3 linked regions of the Ovis aries genome follow. The protein of the gene in region 1 interacts with the protein of each later gene in a pairwise test. Links are inferred from orthologs where the notes say so. Each region holds a gene or a part of one and is shown in the gene's direction. Other genes may lie near its edges.

The links.
Region 2: the proteins of PSMA3 (region 1) and AURKB interact in a two-hybrid assay, tested with the Homo sapiens proteins (2 studies listed by BioGRID and IntAct). The link is inferred for Ovis aries from reciprocal best matches to the Homo sapiens genes PSMA3 and AURKB.
Region 3: the proteins of PSMA3 (region 1) and ZNF385C interact in a two-hybrid assay, tested with the Homo sapiens proteins (2 studies listed by BioGRID). The two-hybrid records come from large-scale screens. The link is inferred for Ovis aries from reciprocal best matches to the Homo sapiens genes PSMA3 and ZNF385C.

What each region holds. Positions count from the first base shown.
Region 1 is NC_056060.1:68,612,831-68,619,244, forward strand, and holds part of PSMA3 (proteasome subunit alpha type-3), read left to right. Parts: intron 1-2,692; coding exon 2,693-2,816; intron 2,817-5,615; coding exon 5,616-5,717; intron 5,718-5,792; coding exon 5,793-5,866; intron 5,867-6,414. UniProt on the Homo sapiens protein: Component of the 20S core proteasome complex involved in the proteolytic degradation of most intracellular proteins. This complex plays numerous essential roles within the cell by associating with different regulatory particles.
Region 2 is NC_056064.1:27,651,372-27,656,297, reverse strand, and holds the end of AURKB (aurora kinase B), read left to right. Parts: exon of another isoform or gene 1-541; coding exon 542-644; exon of another isoform or gene 645-754; coding exon 755-809; exon of another isoform or gene 810-1,020; coding exon 1,021-1,212; exon of another isoform or gene 1,213-1,506; coding exon 1,507-1,645; coding exon of another isoform or gene 1,646-1,655; exon of another isoform or gene 1,656-1,753; coding exon 1,754-1,902; exon of another isoform or gene 1,903-2,574; coding exon 2,575-2,749; exon of another isoform or gene 2,750-2,907; coding exon 2,908-3,081; 3' UTR 3,082-3,215; downstream 3,216-4,926. UniProt on the Homo sapiens protein: Serine/threonine-protein kinase component of the chromosomal passenger complex (CPC), a complex that acts as a key regulator of mitosis.
Region 3 is NC_056064.1:41,917,469-41,923,882, reverse strand, and holds part of ZNF385C (zinc finger protein 385C), read left to right. Parts: intron 1-288; coding exon of another isoform or gene 289-1,773; exon of another isoform or gene 1,774-3,045; intron 3,046-3,386; coding exon 3,387-3,535; intron 3,536-5,368; coding exon 5,369-5,479; intron 5,480-6,414. Other genes in the region: C11H17orf113 (uncharacterized protein C17orf113 homolog), read left to right, coding at 289-1,773.

The sequences.
Region 1 (6,414 bases):
TACTCTTGCCTGGAAAATCCCACGGACCAAGGAGCCTGGTAGGCTACAGTCCATGGGGTCGCAAAGAGTCGGACACAACTAAGCGACTTCACTTCACTTCACTTTGTTAGGGACAGGAACTACCAAAACATATAATTAAGAACATATGAGAGGATACTTAAAACACTATTGAAAAAAACCTACATATGGTGATCATAACTATTTTATAAAAGGATGCCCCTAGAAGGTAATATGCAAGAGAAAAAAAGGAGTTAAATTATAATTTTTCAGTTTATCCTCATTGAGGGGACAAGATATGAAAGGAAGATTGTGCAACATAATTGTGAGGCTAGATTGTTTAGAACAAAAACGTACACAAAATTGTGGTCTTAGGACATCCTTATACTTGGAAAAAAATCATTAGAACCTTGATGAATATTTAATTAAGTAGGCTCTTAGGTTCTATAAGTATTTACCATAATGCTGACCCCAAAGAGCATTTATTTATGCAGGTTATTGGTTCATCTGTATTTACTATTAGAAATTAAAACAAAAAAATACTTCTAAATTTATTTAAATAACAGTAATAAAATTACATGTTAACAAAAATTATGTTAACATTTATTAAAATACTTAAGTAACAATAACATTTTTAATGAAAATTACTTTTCCAAAGCATGGGAAAAAAGTGTGGTGAGAAGAGTTACATTGTTTTACATTCTTGAAAATCTCAGTGATGAATTGAATCTTAATAAAGGGCAGAGTCTCATAGTTGCTGCTGCTTCAGTATGTTGTAACTTTTGTTGAAGTTTGTGCCACAAATCAGGCTTCATATACATACGTAGTTGGAAAAGAGAGGAGTCATTTAATAACCTTATGCATGTTGTTTATTAATACTGTACCGTACTGGACAAATTTTAGTATCGTAAAGGTTAGTTGTAGTGTGGAGTCTGAAAACATAATAATGAATTTTGTACTGTTATTAAGATCTATTGCACTGTTTTGTACTTTGCGTGTTTTATCTATGCACGATTTATAACATTGTGTGTTGGTCATTTGGAAAATATTGGTTCACTGAGTTATAACAGACCTTCCAAAGTAGACATATTTCATTATAAACTGTTAGAAACATCACATTTTTAAATATCACCACCAATATGTTTTCCAAAACTCCAGTTTGTGTTTGAAAACTCAGATTTTATCACTGGCAAGAATACTCTTTTGTTTTCCTTGAAGTGACAGGCTCGTTTTGTTCATTTTAGAGAAAAGTCTGCCACATACCTAAGTGTAAATAACCATAGTTATTATTCTTTGATGGTAAAAACAGATGTTCCATGAAAAAATTTACATTTGAAAGCAGTTTATTAGTGCTTTTTCCTATATGCAACCATCATATTTTGATGTGCAGCAGAAGAACTTGGCTAACTTGCTTTTTGTTAGGATAATAAAAAGATAGATACTTAAGGATTAATGTCTAATAAAATTAACTACAACTTTATCAGGGACATGCTTAACTAAAAATGTTTTTTTGAAAAAAATAACTGAGCGTAGCTATAAAGAATACAATGAGTGGTATTTACTGCTACCGTTTATTGTCAGCCAATACCATTGGTGCAAACATCCACACAATGAAGAAAGTCAAATGATGTTTCTGTATTTTTATAAAGATAATTTTGACCTGACAGACCACACTTTGAGAACTTTTGGTTTAGGGAAAAAGACATTTTAGATTCTGAAAAATGAGGAAGATGAGAAATTGTAATAACTGGGAAAGGCTGTCTGAGACTATTCAAGTAAACTTGAGAAAGTTTGTGGAAATTTATTTAAACGTGCTGCGGTGAGGAGGAAGTGTATTCTAGTACCCAGGATAACTTCAATAAAGACTTGAAAGCAAAAATGGTGTTTGAGGGACAACAATGAGGTTGAATTCAGTAGAGCACAGAATTTATAATATGAAATTGAATTAGCTAGATGGGTTTTGCAGATTCTTGGGAGTTAGGAAGTTTGGACCAAGGAATTTAAACTTGAAAAGGTACCTGAAGTGTGGGGGAAGGAGTGTCTGAAATTCTTTACAAAATTTGTGCATGTGGCTCAGTTCATTTTTCTGGTTGTTTCTGATAGATGCTCTTTGTTAAAAGAATTAGAAGATTTAAAATAATTGTTTTTTCTTAAAATGGCGGTGTATAATTTCTCCACATTTTACTTGTTTTTTTGATCAATTTTGTTTTAAACAGTTGAACAGAATGTTTATTCTTTTACACTTACTGTAAGCAACACATTGTTAATGCAGAAAAAGCAAAAGGAGGGGAAAGGATTATAATCTTTCCACCCAGATTAGAAACTGTTAACTTTTTAGTTTGTATGTAGCCTATCATTTGTGTGCATGTTATATACCATTTTTAATGGACATGGCTAGTCAGCATTTGTCATAAGACAGCCAGCATATGCTAGATACTGTGCCACTTGTTACACATTTTGTTAGCATCTTTTTCATTTGTGTATTATTGTCTTTCCATGTCATGACATGATTATTTGTATGGATCCAATTCATCACACTTTAGGATACTTGCCTTTTCTAGTTTTCAAATGTATTTGCTTTAAAAACTTGATATATTCTAAGAAACAAATTTGCCTGTTTTTTGTTTCTTTTAACTTGAGTTTACAAAGTTTGTTTTATTTTCAGTTAAATTGATTTTTTTTCTACTTGTTTCAGTACAGCTATTGGAATCAGATGTAAAGATGGCGTCGTCTTTGGGGTAGAAAAATTAGTCCTGTCTAAACTTTATGAAGAAGGTTCCAACAAACGACTTTTTAATGTTGATCGACATGTTGGAATGGTAAGGTCACATTTAAAAATGTTCCTTTTTGCTTTGTCCTGTTTCTTGTGATGTAATTAATTGGAATATATCAAAATGTAATTATAAGAACCTATTTATGACTTTAGCATTGAGGCAAAAACAGATCAGAGAGCAGCCATAGAAATAATCGGAAAGACTGGTTTGTGAACAGTTCACTGTCTAAAAGAAAGGTGCGTGCATGCATGCTCAGTTGCTCAGTCATGTCCAACTCTTTGTGACTCCATGGACTGTAGCCCACCAAGCTCCTCTGCCCATGGAATTTTCCAGGAAGAATACTGGTGGCATTCTTATAACCCAATTGGAGATACATAGGAAAAACCAAGTTGAAGCAAATGAGGAGGGGAGAGGAGTGAGAAGCTTGGGTAAAAAATCTTGGCAGCATAGATCGCCAATCAAGGCACATGCTTGAGAGGCAATAAGTCTTTAGTTTTTTGTGTCCTTTCTGGGGATAACTGTCACACTGAAGATGTTATCAGAAAGAGAATACCTTCATAGTAAGGTGGAGTATCAGGAAGGGATGTCTGACAAAAGGAAGAGTGAGTACATCCTTTTTAGTAGCTTCATAAGCATCACTATATTTATTTCATGCAGCTGGTATGACATAAATAGATTACTGGGATATACTGAAGTCATTCTGTATAAATATCAGACTTTCTTTAGTAGGTATAATAGTCCGGAAAAAAGAGAAAAGTGATTTTTAACCCTGCTTTCTGAAAAGTCAAGGAAGAAAAGTGAATACGTATTCTGTGTGCTAGGTACTATGCCAGAAGTTCTTTACATAAATTATCTCATGTAATCTTGACAAACCAGTGAAAGTAATATTAATCCCATTTTTACAGATGAGGAAACACTCAACTGGTAACGAAATGTGCTGGGATTCTTACTTGGGTCTCCATGGTCTGTGTGTTACTCTAGAGCCCATTCTTCAGGGTGAGATTCTGTAGGGTCCACTTATTCTGCTGAAGTATTGGTAGCTTCAGCTAGCTTTCAGCTTCTAAATAGCTTATTTAGAAATATGATTAGTATTTCTAAATAAGATGTGTTACACACAACACAGAAAGGACTAGCAAAATATAACCAGTAATCTATAAAGCTACAGATACATTTTTTTTCCTTCAGTTATTTTTCTGAATCTGTTTTCTCTCCTGAACAGATTTATTACTGCCAATGAAGCTGGTATGTTTTCCTGAAACTTGGCCAGATTGTAACCTAACTGATAGAAGGGAATTAGTGAATTCTGCTTTCTTTTACTTAGTAAAAAAGATAGCTTTCGGTAGGTGTATTTTGAAAAAAATCATATATGCTTATAGATAGTTCAGTGGTGGAAAGATTTTCCTAGAATTTTCAAATTTGTCCCATTTGTTATTAAAAACTGATGGCATTCCATGCAACTGGAAATTGGCAAAATATTAGACATTGAAGAAGGTTGGAGGAAAAAAGGATTGATAGTCTGTCTCCACAGTTGTCATCTTCAAGTGATTTGACAAATTACTAAACTTCACAGTGAGTTTTATCCAAAGCAATGGAAGATTATTTAAATCATGAAAATTACTACCTGGGTTACTCTAAACTCCAGTTCCCTCACCTGCAAAACTATGGTGGTAATAGTGCCTGTCCTCATGTGTAATTATGTAAAATGCTTAGCATGTCATGAGTGATCAATAATGGATTAAGGATTTTCATAATCATTACTATTACTAGGTAGCAGTAGAAGAAAAGGCTATTAAAATTTTTTTTATTAAAATTTTTGATAACATTTATTCTGAAAATCTTCTTATGTCAGTGGTTTCCAGTACCTGTAACTGTTTCAACATTTCTGTTTTCATGGCTTCCCTAGACCTAAAGAAATACCCAGTGGTTCTGTGTATTATATATGTAGGTCTAAATAACTGTTTATGTTCTAAAAACTTAGTAGCTATAAAAACAAAACCTCACCATATGACAGTAAAATAAAAATGTTTTTATTTTCAAACAACTACTACTACTAACGTGTACTGTTCAGTGTCTTAAAGTTTGGAATTGGATTAGATGGCTGTGCCCCACCCGACTCTGCTTCCTGTTTCACAGATTTTTGCACAGTGCTTATTTTCTATCACAGCAGCCCCAGCTTCTCAGTGATCCGATGGCATTGAAAGGAATGTGGAATGATCTGATGTTGAAACTGAACTACTTCAATATGTGTTTCCCCCAAAACTTACAGCACCCCACAACTCTGAGTTCACTGTAGTTCCCTGGGATATCTCAGTGTGTGGTTTGGTAATTGCAGCTGTAAGCCACTAGGTTTGTGGTCTGTCATGTTTTGGTTCGGCATTACAGTTCATTGGTACACTGAAAAAGAAAGGAGTTTTGAGGTTATGCCTTTTAAATCAAAACCTTTAATAACTTTTTAAACATAGAATGGCTTTAAATTAAAAACCAGTTGTAACCAAAACCCATGCATGGTTTTATTCTTCTTTGTGGTTGTTTTAGTCTTTATAATGAAGTGGGAAATAGGGAGACATGGAGTTTTTTTTAATGTGGTCATTTGACAAAAGAATGAAGTCACAGTTGGGAAATTTCCAAATTGATATCCCATACTCAAGCATCGAAGTTCCAGGATGCCTTGCAAAGATGGTGGTTTGGTCACTAATTTGTGTCTGATTCTTGCAAAGACCTTTAAGCCTAACTAATTGATTCTAATGATGATGCTTGTTAAAAATATCAAGTAAGCCTGTCACAGTCACGTGCTTTTCCTTCATTTGTGGTAGGAATGGTAATTGGTACTTTTTGTTTTTTCAGGCAGTAGCAGGTTTGTTGGCAGATGCTCGTTCTTTAGCAGACATTGCAAGAGAAGAGGCTTCCAACTTTAGATCTAACTTTGGATATAACATTCCACTAAAAGTAAGTTGGTAACGGTTGAGCCTCTGGAACAGCAAGAGAAGAGTCTTAATAAACTCTTCTGTTTTACCCCCACAGCATCTTGCAGACAGAGTGGCCATGTATGTACACGCGTATACACTCTACAGTGCTGTTAGACCTTTCGGCTGCAGGTATGAAATTTAGTGAGATATTCAGTGATATCTGTACTACAGTTATCTGTTTTCCCAGCATCTTATTAACCTTTTATACCCTTAAGAAATGAACTTTCATCAAGATGTACTTGAACTTTTTTTATTGTATCTATGTGACATGATGGATATTACCTAAACCTGTGGTAATCATTGCATTTCACAGTGTATATAAATCAAACCTTTATGCTGTGCACCTTAAATTTAATGTAGTGATGCATGTCAATTATTTATTAATAAAACTTGGGGGGGGTTCTCTGAAATTCGAATCAGACATTTTCAGGAAGTTGCAAACTGATTTTATTAAAATTTTTTAAAAAATTTTATTTTTGGGTCTTTGTTGTTGTGCAGGCTTTTCTCTAGTTGTGGAGAGCAGGGGCTGCTCTCTAGTTGTGATGCGTGGGCTTCTCACTGTGGTGGCTTCTCTTGTTGCCGAGCACAGGCTATAGGGTGCGTGGCCTTCAACAGCTGTGGCTCCTGGGCTCTAGAGCACAGGTCCCATAGTTGTGGTGCATGGGCTCAGTTGCTCC
Region 2 (4,926 bases), on another chromosome or scaffold:
CCCTCTATCCCCTTGTCCACCAGCTCCCTCCCCGGTGAAGCTCTGAATGGGGAGGCTGAATGAGATGACACTGTCATGTCTACACCAGTCACTCCCAGAAGAAAGTGGTGTGTTACTCAGAAGTTGACAGTGACAGTGCTCCAGGACAATTAGAATAGCCTTCACTTTCCCTAAAGCCTGTTGTTGCAAAGCGGTAAATACTGAGATTTGCTGAACACTCAAGGCCCCAAGGATCTTATCTGAGCCTTAACAGACCAAGCTTAGGGAACTGTGAGAATACCTCTGTTCTGAAGCTCCTTGAATTGTGGGTGTTCATTACCCCAGCCTCTACTGCCCTTTGGGGTAGGGGGCTAGGTAAATGAGTGGTGTTATGGACAAGACTGAGTAGCAAAATTGTGGCCTCATTGTTCCTCTTTGAACTGGGGATGGGGTGGGGTAGGTGGGTGGCTTTATAGCAAGCCCTGAAATGCTGCTTGTAGCGCATTCCAACCCGGTCACTGGGATAAAGGCACCCTCAGAGCTCCCCTCTGGTCCTTCTCAGGCTCAGCCTGGCCTGAACACCCTGCCCCAGAGAGTTCTCCGGAAGGAGGCTGTCATCCCATCGGCGCTTGTCCTCATGAGTCGCTCCAATGCCCAGCCCACAGGTAAACTAGCACAAAGGGAGGGGACTGACCTGAGGGAACTAGGGTCTGCAGAGGGTGGGTGGGGATGAAAATGTCAAAGGATGGCCTCAACTTCCCTGTTCTTTCCTTAGCTGCCCCTGGCCAGAAGGTGGTGGAGAACAGCAGTGGGACCCTCAACATCCCAAAGTAAGCTCCCCAAGCTTTGAGGTAGCAAGGGACGGGGTGGAATAAAGGCAGGAGGAGGAGGGATGCAGGTGAGAAAGCCTGATCCATCCTCAGCTCCCCTGGAAGAGAAGCAGGATTGCAGGCAGGAGGGGCAGAGGTCCAGAAAGAAGGCAAACACCTCAGAGGACCAACTAACCACTGCTCAGCTGCTCCACCACTGCTTCCCAAACAGGCGTTCCTTCACAATCGATGACTTTGAGATTGGGCGTCCTCTGGGCAAAGGCAAGTTTGGAAATGTGTACTTGGCTCGGGAGAAGAAAAGCCATTTCATCGTGGCACTCAAAGTCCTCTTCAAGTCTCAGATCGAGAAGGAGGGTGTGGAGCACCAGCTGCGTAGAGAGATCGAAATCCAAGCCCATCTCCAGTACGCTCAACGTCCCCTGAGCCAGAGCCCCTGCCGCCCCAACCCCACTCCTCCTCCAACCCCACCACATCTAGACTGTCTTCTCTGTAGCTGTGGCCACGCAGCCCCAATGAGCTCTCAATCCCAGCCAGAGCCTTGAATCCAGAAAATCACCTCCGGTCCCCAATTAGGACTGCCAACTGGCTTCCCCTACCTGGCCCAGACCTGACCCAGTTTGCCCCAATGCGACCTGTCATCTTTCCCATTTCCTTAGGCCAGAATGCAGCCTGATGCCTCCTCTGTCTCCTCTCCCAGACATCCCAACATCTTGCGTCTCTACAACTATTTCTATGACCGGCGAAGGATCTACTTGATTCTGGAGTATGCCCCCCAGGGGGAGCTCTACAAGGAGCTGCAGAAGAGCCGAACTTTTGATGAGCAGCGAACAGCCACGGTCGGGGCGGGTGGGCACCTGGGGCACTGGCAGGGGCCTGGAGGCTGGGGGATGCCATTTGCCGCCTGAGGTCAGTCCTCTTCTGACTGTCTGCCATTGGCCCCCCAGATCATGGAGGAGCTGGCAGATGCTCTGACGTACTGCCATGCAAAGAAGGTGATTCACAGAGACATCAAGCCAGAGAATCTGCTCTTGGGGCTCCGGGGTGAGCTGAAGATTGCTGACTTTGGCTGGTCGGTGCATGCCCCCTCCCTGAGGTATGGTGGGCCAGAAGGCCAGCCCTGGGTATGAAGCCATTCAAAATAAAACCACTTCAGATCTTGTTACCCAGAGACATTTTGGGTTGTTCTCATGTAAATATATAGACACAGCAATATCTTTACAAAAATAGGAGACTTTGGGAGTTCCCTGCTGGTCCAGTGGTTAGGACTCCAGCTTTCACTGCAGGGGGCCCAGGTTCAATCCCTGGTCGAGGGAACTAAGATCCTGCAAACCGTGCAGCGTGGCCAAAAACAAAAATAGGAGTCTCAGTTTTGTCACTCAGATTTCTCACTTGAAACAATGGGACCTTCTTGCCATATCACTGAGAATACTCCCACATCATTTTTAGTGGCTTCATAGTATTGCACAGTAGAAATGTAATGTGATTAAGCAACATGTGATTGATGAACATCTGAAATTCTTCCTATAATTCTAAGGTGAACGTTGCCCTCATATCTGATTTATTTTAAGGTACGGCCCTCAGTGTGGAAATGCAGAGTCAGTGTGCTAGCCCCACTCCTACCCCAAAGACCCCATCAGAGCCTGGTTGGAAGACCCCTGGCACATCCTGTGGTCGGTCTGGGCTCCCTGTCAGGCTGCAGGGAAAGGAGGGAAAGTCTGGATCTGAGATCCCTGCCCACTCCCCCTCTTCCCCCGCCCCACCCCAGGAGGAAGACAATGTGCGGCACTCTGGACTACCTGCCCCCAGAGATGATTGAGGGGCGCACGCACAATGAGAAGGTGGACCTGTGGTGCATCGGCGTGCTTTGCTACGAGCTGCTGGTGGGAAACCCGCCCTTCGAGAGTGCTTCCCACAATGAGACGTACCGGCGCATTGTCAAGGTGGGAGGCTGGCCCCCGGGGTCTGGCTGGAGTTTGTGCCAGCTCAGGGGCTGGGGCAGGGAGTGGGCACACTGTTGCTGTTGATGTTAAACCCTGCTAATAGAGTGGGAAGTGGAGGCAAAAGCAGCTAGGATGAAGCCTGTCTCTCCTTCTTGCAGGTGGACCTAAAGTTCCCTCCTTCTGTGCCCATGGGAGCCCAGGACCTCATCTCCAAGCTGCTCAAGCATAACCCCTCAGAACGCCTGCCGCTGGCCCAGGTCTCTGCCCACCCTTGGGTCCGAGCCCACTCTCGCAGGGTGCTGCCTCCCTCTGCCCCTCAGTCTGTCCCCTGAAATGTCCCTGTCCTTTTCTCAGTTGTGTCTGTGTCTGTATATGTGTAGCCAGGAGGAGGGGGGTCCCAAGTCTGTTTCTGCATCTGTCTTCTACCTCCTCTTTATTTAATAAAGGCTGAAGCTTTTTGTACTGATGAGTGTAGATGTTTACATGTGGAGACTGCTGTGAAGGAAGTCATCACCCATGGGGAGGAGGCGAGGGAGTTGCCCATGCTGGGCAGTGGGGTGGGCACTGCATCATCACCCCTGGGAACACCCCTCAGCACTGAGAGCAACCTCTCAGCTCTAACCTCATCTGGTCAGCTCCCAACCATCCTACTTCCACATCTTTCCTTTCCCCTGCTCTGGCTCCCAGGCCTGGGGATGCTGGGGACCTGGCTCTACTCTGCTATGCCTGCACATCAGCCATCACCAACCATCTCCACCCACCTTCTATTACTCCCTCTTAGTTGACCTCTAATCTTTCCCTTTCCTGGGTCAGTCTTGCTGACCTAGGAGCAATTAAAGTTGTCTTCTTGTTTTGTTTTTCTGCTCTGGTGAGGATTTAGCACAGGAGTAAATAGAAGCTGATGGTGTCTTGTTCCTGACCTATGGGAAACTTGTTCCCATAGTTTCACTGCTATGTATGATGCTTGCAATATGGTGCCTCCTATAGGTTTTGTTCTTTTGTTTTGGCCACCCAGAGCAGCATGCACGATCTTGAGTTTCCCTGACCAGGGACAAACCCATTCCCCTTGCAGTGGAAGCTTGGAGTCCTAACCACTGGACTGTCAGGGAAATCTCTTGCTATAAGTTCTTGATACATGTCTTTTATTAGGTTAAGGAAGGCCTGGGCTCTTCCTAGTTCATTAAGGGTTGGGTGTTTTTTGAAGCATGAATAGGTGTTGAGTTTCACCTAGTGCTTTTTCTGCATGTTTATTTTTTGTACTCTTAAGCCATGTGGTGTAGAACATCAATAAAGTTTCTTATTTTTATTTCATCTCAGATACTCGGGCTATATTCAATTCCTAGGGCTACTGTAACAAATTACCACAAACCTGGGTGGTTTTAAACAGCAGAAATGGATTCTCTGACAGTTCTGGAGGCCAGAAGTCCATGATCAAGGTGTCAGTAGCACCACCTTCCCATATATGCCTCTAGGGGAAAATCCTTCCTTGCCTTTTCCATCTTCATGTGACTCCAGGCACTTCATGGCTTGTGGCTACATCACTCCAAGCTCTGCTTCTGTCTTCACACAGCCTTCCTTTCTTTGCCTTTCTCTCCTCTGTCTTAAAAGAACACTAGCAATTTGATTTATGGCTCACCTAGATAATCCAGGATAATGTTATTCACAATCTGTAATTATATCTGCAAAGACCCTTTTTCCAAAAAACACTGCATTCATTGCTTCCAGAGGTTAAGACACTGACATATCTTTTAGGGGGCTACCATGCAACCCACTACATATGCGCACAGATTAAAATAATTGAAGGACAGTATAGGGCTTAAGAAAACGAAAAACCAACAGTCTTCCCATTTCTCTCTCCCCAGAGACAAATCCTTTTACAGTTTTGCTTTGTTTTTGGTATTTACTTTGTATCTCCAAATCACATGCTTCTGTCACTACCTCTTTACATTTTCAGTTTTAGGCTTTATCTATCATTTTCCTGATACAAAATGTAAGTATTTCATTCTTTCACTCCACTGCCACCAGAAACAAGGGCGTTTTCTGTCCCTACATCCTTCTGGTGTAGTTATAATTTTGGTTAAGATTTATTCATCTGACAATAGTTACTGAGTGCTCTCTGCAGCCCAGGTACTGTTCTAGAGGCTGAGGGGTGAATAAACGAGAAAAAAAAATCCTCA
Region 3 (6,414 bases), on another chromosome or scaffold:
GGGAACTAGATCACAGAAGCAATGTGGCGTAAGTTTAAAAAAAATTGGTAAGTCACAACAACCTTTTAAGGAGATTGGGGGCAGGTATTAGCCTCAAGGCAACTGAGAGATGAACAAAGAGGTCAAATGATTTGCCTAAAGTCACACAGCCAGTAAGTGACTAAGCTAGGATTAGTCCTCGAGACTGTCCAACCGCAGGCCTGTGCTCTTTCACCCCATCCCGTCTGCCTCCCCTTCTCAGGACAAGCCTAACCCTGTCCTCTCTTTTTCTCTCCCTGGCTGTCCCAGGTGGCTATCGCCAGTGTCTTGCACACAGAGGCCCGTCAGCGCCTGAAGGCATCCCCGTATGTGGGCCTGGTGTTGGATGAGACCAAGGACTGGCCTGAGTCCCACCGTCTGGCCTTGTTTGTCACTTCAGTGTCCCCCTGCGATGGCCAGCCTGCCACCACCTTTCTGGGCAGTGTGGAGCTACAGGAAGGCGAGGCCACCGCTGGCCAAGTCCTGGACATCCTGCAGGCTTTTGGCGTGTCTGCATCCAAGCTGGCCTGGCTCAGCTCAAGCCTCCCCAGTGACCGCCTGGGGAGGGTGCGCCCACAGCTCCAGGCCGCCTGCCCACTGCTCACGGAGTTACACTGCCTCCCTGGCCGGACAGACCCCAAGCCCCCTGCCTACCTAGGTGAATATGAAAGTGTACTGGATGCCCTATTCCGCCTGCACGGCGGCCCCAGTTCTCACGTGGTCCCTGAACTCAGGGCGGCACTGGACCTTGCAGCTATTGACTTGGCAGGACCACGGCCAGTGCCCTGGGCCTCCCTGCTGCCTGTGGTGGAAGCTGTGGCTGAGGCTTGGCCTTGCCTGGTGCTCACACTGGAGGCCTCTGCCCCAGCCTCGCCTACCACAAGGGCGCTGGCCCTCGCCCTGCGCCAGTTCACCTTCGTGGCCTTCACCCACCTCCTGCTGGATGTTCTGCCCTCCGTGCAGAAGCTGGCCCTTGTCCTGCAGCCAGAAGAGCCGGATTTGGCCTTGCTGCAGCCTCTGGTGATGGCAGCTACAGCCTCCCTCCACGCACAGTGCAGTTCAGGTGGGGCGCGCCTCCAGGGCTTCCTGCAGGAACTGGCATCCTCTAGCCCCGATTTGGGCTGTGGCCGCTGCACCTACCGCGGCGTGGAGCTGGTGGGCTACTCTGAGACTGCGGTCCAGGGCTTGGAGCGGCTGCGGGGAGCCTTCCTGGACTCCATGCGGAGGGGGCTGCGGGACTCTTACCCTGGGCCCTCGCTGGACGCCGTGGCCGCCTTCGCGGCCATCTTCGACCCCCGCCGCTACCCGCAGGCCCCCGAGGAGCTGGGCGCGCACGGGGAGGGGGCACTCCGCGTCCTGCTGCGCGCCTTCGCCCCCGCTGTGGTGCGCCAGAGGGCGCTGGGCGACTTCGCACTCTTCAAGCGCGTGGTGTGCAGCCTGGGGCGGCTGGGCCCGCGGGCCCTGTGCACCAAGCTGGCGTGCGCGCGCTCAGAACTGCACGAGCTCTTCCCCGACTTCGCCGCCCTGGCCGCACTGGCCTTGGCGCTGCCTGCAGGCGCCGGCCTCCTGGACAAGGTCGGCCGCAGCCGGGAGCTGCGGTGGTGGGGGCCGGGCGGGGCAGGGGAAGGACGGGGCGGCCCCGCGGTGAAGATCGCGGTAGATGGGCCGCCGCTGCACGAGTTTGACTTTGCGCTGGCGGTGGAGTTCCTAGAGAGCGGGTGGGGCGAGGGCCTCCTGGGCTCGCAGCTCACCTGAGAGCGGCCTCCTCTCCTCTGTCCAGCCAGTCTGGGGCCCTGGACTCACTAAGGGCCAAGCCAGACTTGACCTAGCAAGATTACCTCCTAACTGTGGCCTCCCACCCACCTTCCCCGGGCTTCCTCGGCTCCACGCTGAGTACTAACCCGGCTCAGTGGGATGTGGAAGAGGGGCTGGGTCGGGGGTGCTAGTGGGGGCCTGGGCCCGTGGGCAGAGGTGCTAGGGTTTCGGGCACCCTAAATGTCACTCCTGACCTTTCCGGTTCTGTGGGAAGTAGTTCACTCTGTTCCCTCGGAACTCCACTCAAATTTTCTCTCTGGAAAAGCTGAGGGGTCTTGGTTGGAAGGAGGAAGACAGAGCCTCCGCAGTTGAGGGGTTGAAGGCCAGGAGACTGGGTCCTTGACTGTTAGCCCTGCTCCTAGCAACATATCTTCTCTTCAGATATGACTGGGGGAAAAAATGACTGTCTTTATTTTTGACACAGCAGAGCACCCTCTCTGTGAAAAAGCTCAAGGGAAGTAAGAGGTGCCCTCTCCACCAACAGGCTGCCTGAGACTTTTCTGTACTTGGCTGTACGTAGACATCCGCTCCAGTATTCTTGCCTGGAAAATCCCACGGACAGAGGAGCCTGGGAGTCCATAGGGTGGCAAAGAGTCGGACTAGACTGAAGCAACTTCACATAGACATACATACGTATCAATGTGAAATAAATCTATCCTAGCCTCCCTGGTGTTAACACACAAAATCGAAAAGGACTTCTTTTGCTTTTGCAACAACAGGGTTCACAAAAGTCCCAAATGGGCTGAATTTATTTCCAATTTTTTTCTTCCTCAAAGTCTGGCTGTTCTCCAAGTTCCTAACCTTTCCCGATCCTTGCCTCAGATCTCTCTCTCTCTCTCTTTTTTTTTTTTTTTAGCAGTGCTGAGATTTTAGTTCCCTGACCAGGGATTGAACCCAGGCCCCTGCCTCAGACCTTTAAGACCAAAGACTGTATAAACCACAGTGCTGGACTGGTTGAACCCAAGGACCAGGCTCAGGCCTGACCCAGGGGTGTTGGAGGGCTTTTGTCTCCAGTGGAGAGCAGTTGGGCCTCATCGGAGTTGGGGAACACATCCCTTCAGATTCTGGGGGGTTTCCTATCCCCTCTGTCAGTCCTTGCTGTGAGTGTTGTGGGGGATCTGGAGGGGAGTAGTTAGTGAGAGGGGATGGGGCTGGCCTTTCCAAGTCTCCTAGGCTTGGGTTTAATTTGCAATAAAGTGGAAACCCAGTGCATCGTGCAGTCTCCATGGTGGTGTGTGTGTCAGGGGCCCACCCCGACTCCCCTCTGGGGTTCAGTGGGGCCATAATGCTGCCCCTGTGGGGGAGGTGGTCATCCTTCTGGGCTGGGAGCCTAGAACTGTGGGCCCTCTGCTTCCCCTTCCCCTGTGGTGCAGGGGAGAGGCGCAGAAATGGGCTGTAATCACCCTGGGTTTAGCCAGCGCTGCTTTGTGGAGATGGGAGTTTCCGCCCTGGCTCCACAGCCAAGAAGCCCATCAACCTCTTGTTCTGGCTGTGGAGGGAGGAGCGAGCCCTGTAACTCCCTGTTTCAGACCCTGCCCTTCTTCCTCCTGCAGGAGGCCCGGCCTCCGGAGCCCCCAGCCCGCTGCTGGCCTCCCTGGCCCTGCCCGCCAGGCCTCTGCAGCCCCCGCTGGACTTCAAGCACTTGCTCACCTTCCACTTCAATGGCGCCACCCCGCTCAGTCTCTTCCCCAACTTCAGCACGGTACGGGCTGGGTGGGCGGGTGGTGGGAGTGCAACCCAGCATGGGGGTGGGCTGGGAAGGTGGGCTCCCAGGGGCCGGCTCTTAGAAGCTGGGTCCAACCAGGAGCAACATCCCTCCGAGTGACCAGGTGCTCCCAAAATGGGGCCCAGCTCCTGCTTAGGCCAGAATATCCGGGATGCTACTGTCCTCTCCCCTAGCAACTGGTGCTGAGCCTGGAGGGCCTGTGAGCTGCAGGTTTCATCGAGTGTTCATAAAGGGGCACCTGTGGACGATCTGTGTATGTCTGCGTGCCTTTCTGTTTTAGTTTGTCTCTGTAGGACTTTGTGTGTATTTACGGGTGTGAGTTTGTGCACGTGTGCTTGTGAACGCTTTATGCCTGTGTAGCTGTCTGTATGTAGTGTATGTGCCTGGGTATCTGAGTTTTTGTGTGTCGACTGTGTATGTGTTTGGTGTGTGTCTGGCCTCTGCGTGTATGTTTTCATATGGTTTGGATGTGTGCCATTGGTGTGCAGGTGCGTGTGTATCTTTCTGCTTGTTTCTGTGATTTGTAACTACCTGTACGTTTATGTGCTGTGTGTCTGCCTACTAGTCTGTGTACTAGTATTTCCATGTATGTGTGTAAATCTGAAATTTACTTCACTATATGAGCTATAAGGTATACGACCCTTTTAAAAATTTTTTTGAAAAATCAAATGTAATCATTGATGAGCCTCCCCCCATCCTGACAATATGGTGGGAAGCTCTATCTAATCACCCTTGGAAGCCCCTTCCTTCTCACCCTCCAGGGTTGTTCAAAGATCCTAAGGAGCCCAAGACAACTTGGGGGGGGGGTCCTCTGGTTTGTAGTCCCCACTGTCACTTGCTGACATGCTCATTGTTCAGGCACATGGTCCCTACGAGGGGGTCAATCTGCTGTTGTTCTCATCACGGGGGGCCCTGCAGGCCATTCTCCCCTGAAATCCTGTCCCGTCCCGCCACCCACCCACCTCAGCCCCTGGCCCTGGGTGCTGTGAGGGTTAGAACCTCTTTCTGGTCTCAGGGAAGTTTCTGAAACCATGCTCTTCTCTCAAAGCCTGTGTTCTTCTCTCTCAGGAAGGTTTGGAAAGTTCTTCTTGACAAGTAAGCCCCCAACGACTTCTGCTTTTGACACAACAACCCAGCCTTTGAGAAAAGGGAACATAAAGACTTGGTTTGATAGAAGAAACAGAAATTATTTAAAACAAGGAAAAGAAAAAAAATACAAATTCATATTCCAGGGAAATGACCCTACTATTCAGGGAACCCTCTGGCTTCCATCTGCTAATCCTGCTCCCTGCCCCCAGCCTGGTCCCCCACTGCCCCTGGGCTGCGGCTCTCACTCTCAGGCCCTGTGACAGCGGCAAAGCTGATATGGTAAGCTTTCTCTCCCCCAGCCCACAGGCCCAGCACAAGGCTGGGTTATGGGGGAGGAAATTCCAAATTCCCTTCTCCGCTTCTCCCTGCCCTCAACTCTCTGCACACGTAGATGTGATTCTCATGAAGGAGGAAAAAAAGAGACTGGAAGGGCAGCAAGGGAAGCCAGTGTGATCACCAGGCCCTGGTTGTGTTTCTCAAGATCGCAAAAGTCACGTGGCCATCCCCCTGCCTCCAAGCACAAGCCTAGGCCGTCTAAGAGAGTCAGCCAGGGAAGAGGCTTTTCTTTTTCAGTGTTTAATATCCACAGACATAGGAAATTTCTTCCTATGGGCTGACCACTGCCCTCCTGCATAGACTTTAGTTTTGGGCATTTGGCACTGCCCTTTCACCTTACTTAGCTGACCCCACAGTTACTATGCCCTCCCACCCCCTCCACAGATGGACCCGGTCCAGAAAGCTGTCATCAGCCACACATTTGGGGTCCCCTCTCCCCTGAAGAAGAAGCTCTTCATTTCCTGTAACATCTGTCACCTGAGATTCAACTCAGCGGTGAGAGGGAGTTGTGGAAACAGGCTTGGGGGGCGCTGGGCAGGGAGCGGGCTGGACCCTTGGCTTCCAGGTCTTTCCTGCCTGGAGGAATAGGGGTGGCAAAGGGACTGTGGTCTGTATTTTCTGTCCTTCGTTGAGGAAGAGCCGCTCCTGGCCCTTTATCCATCCCATCCTTTCCTCTCTCCAGATTCCTGTGCCCCTTCCCAGCCCATCCCCCTGGGATTCTGTTTTCCTCCCCCTGTGCCTTGCTCCTATGTTCTGGAACCTTCTGATGAGAGCAGGCTGCCCTTCCCTACTCTGGGTCCCAGGGGCCACCATCGGTTCTGGTTTGGGGCTGAGTTCTTAACACGCCTGAGAGTTTACAGAATCTGTTTGTGTCTATCCTCTTAATTAGTTCTCATGATGCATCTGTGAGATGGTTCAAGGTCCCATCCTCAGTCTCATTTCTCAGATGAGGAAACTGAGCTTCAGAGAGGTTAAGTGACTTGCCTGAGGTCATACAACTGGTAATTAGCAGAGCTGGGATTTGAACCCAGGCCTGGCTGACCCCATAGTCCACATACTTCCTAGCAGGGCCTGCCCCTAGAGAGTGGCCTCCAAGGGAATGTTTGCCTTCTGTCCAGACAACTTCTGCAGTTTGGGGAGATGCTGTTGGCAGACCTGCTCTTGTGAAAGCGCCTAAGGAGGGGCCACAGGGCCTTCTTTCCTACTTTGGGGAGCAATAAGCAGGAATCCCTAGTGGATAGGCCAGGTTTGCGAGTTCCTTCCAGGCTTTCAGGTTACATGGGTCATGCAAGTGATGGACGGAGAGACTCACTCTGATAAAGAAACCATGTATTTTTCATGCCAGGCCCAACACAGTGCCTGGCAAATAGCAAATGCTCAGGAACTATTTGTTAAAAAACACGTACAGAAGGATGAATGATCTGGAGTGT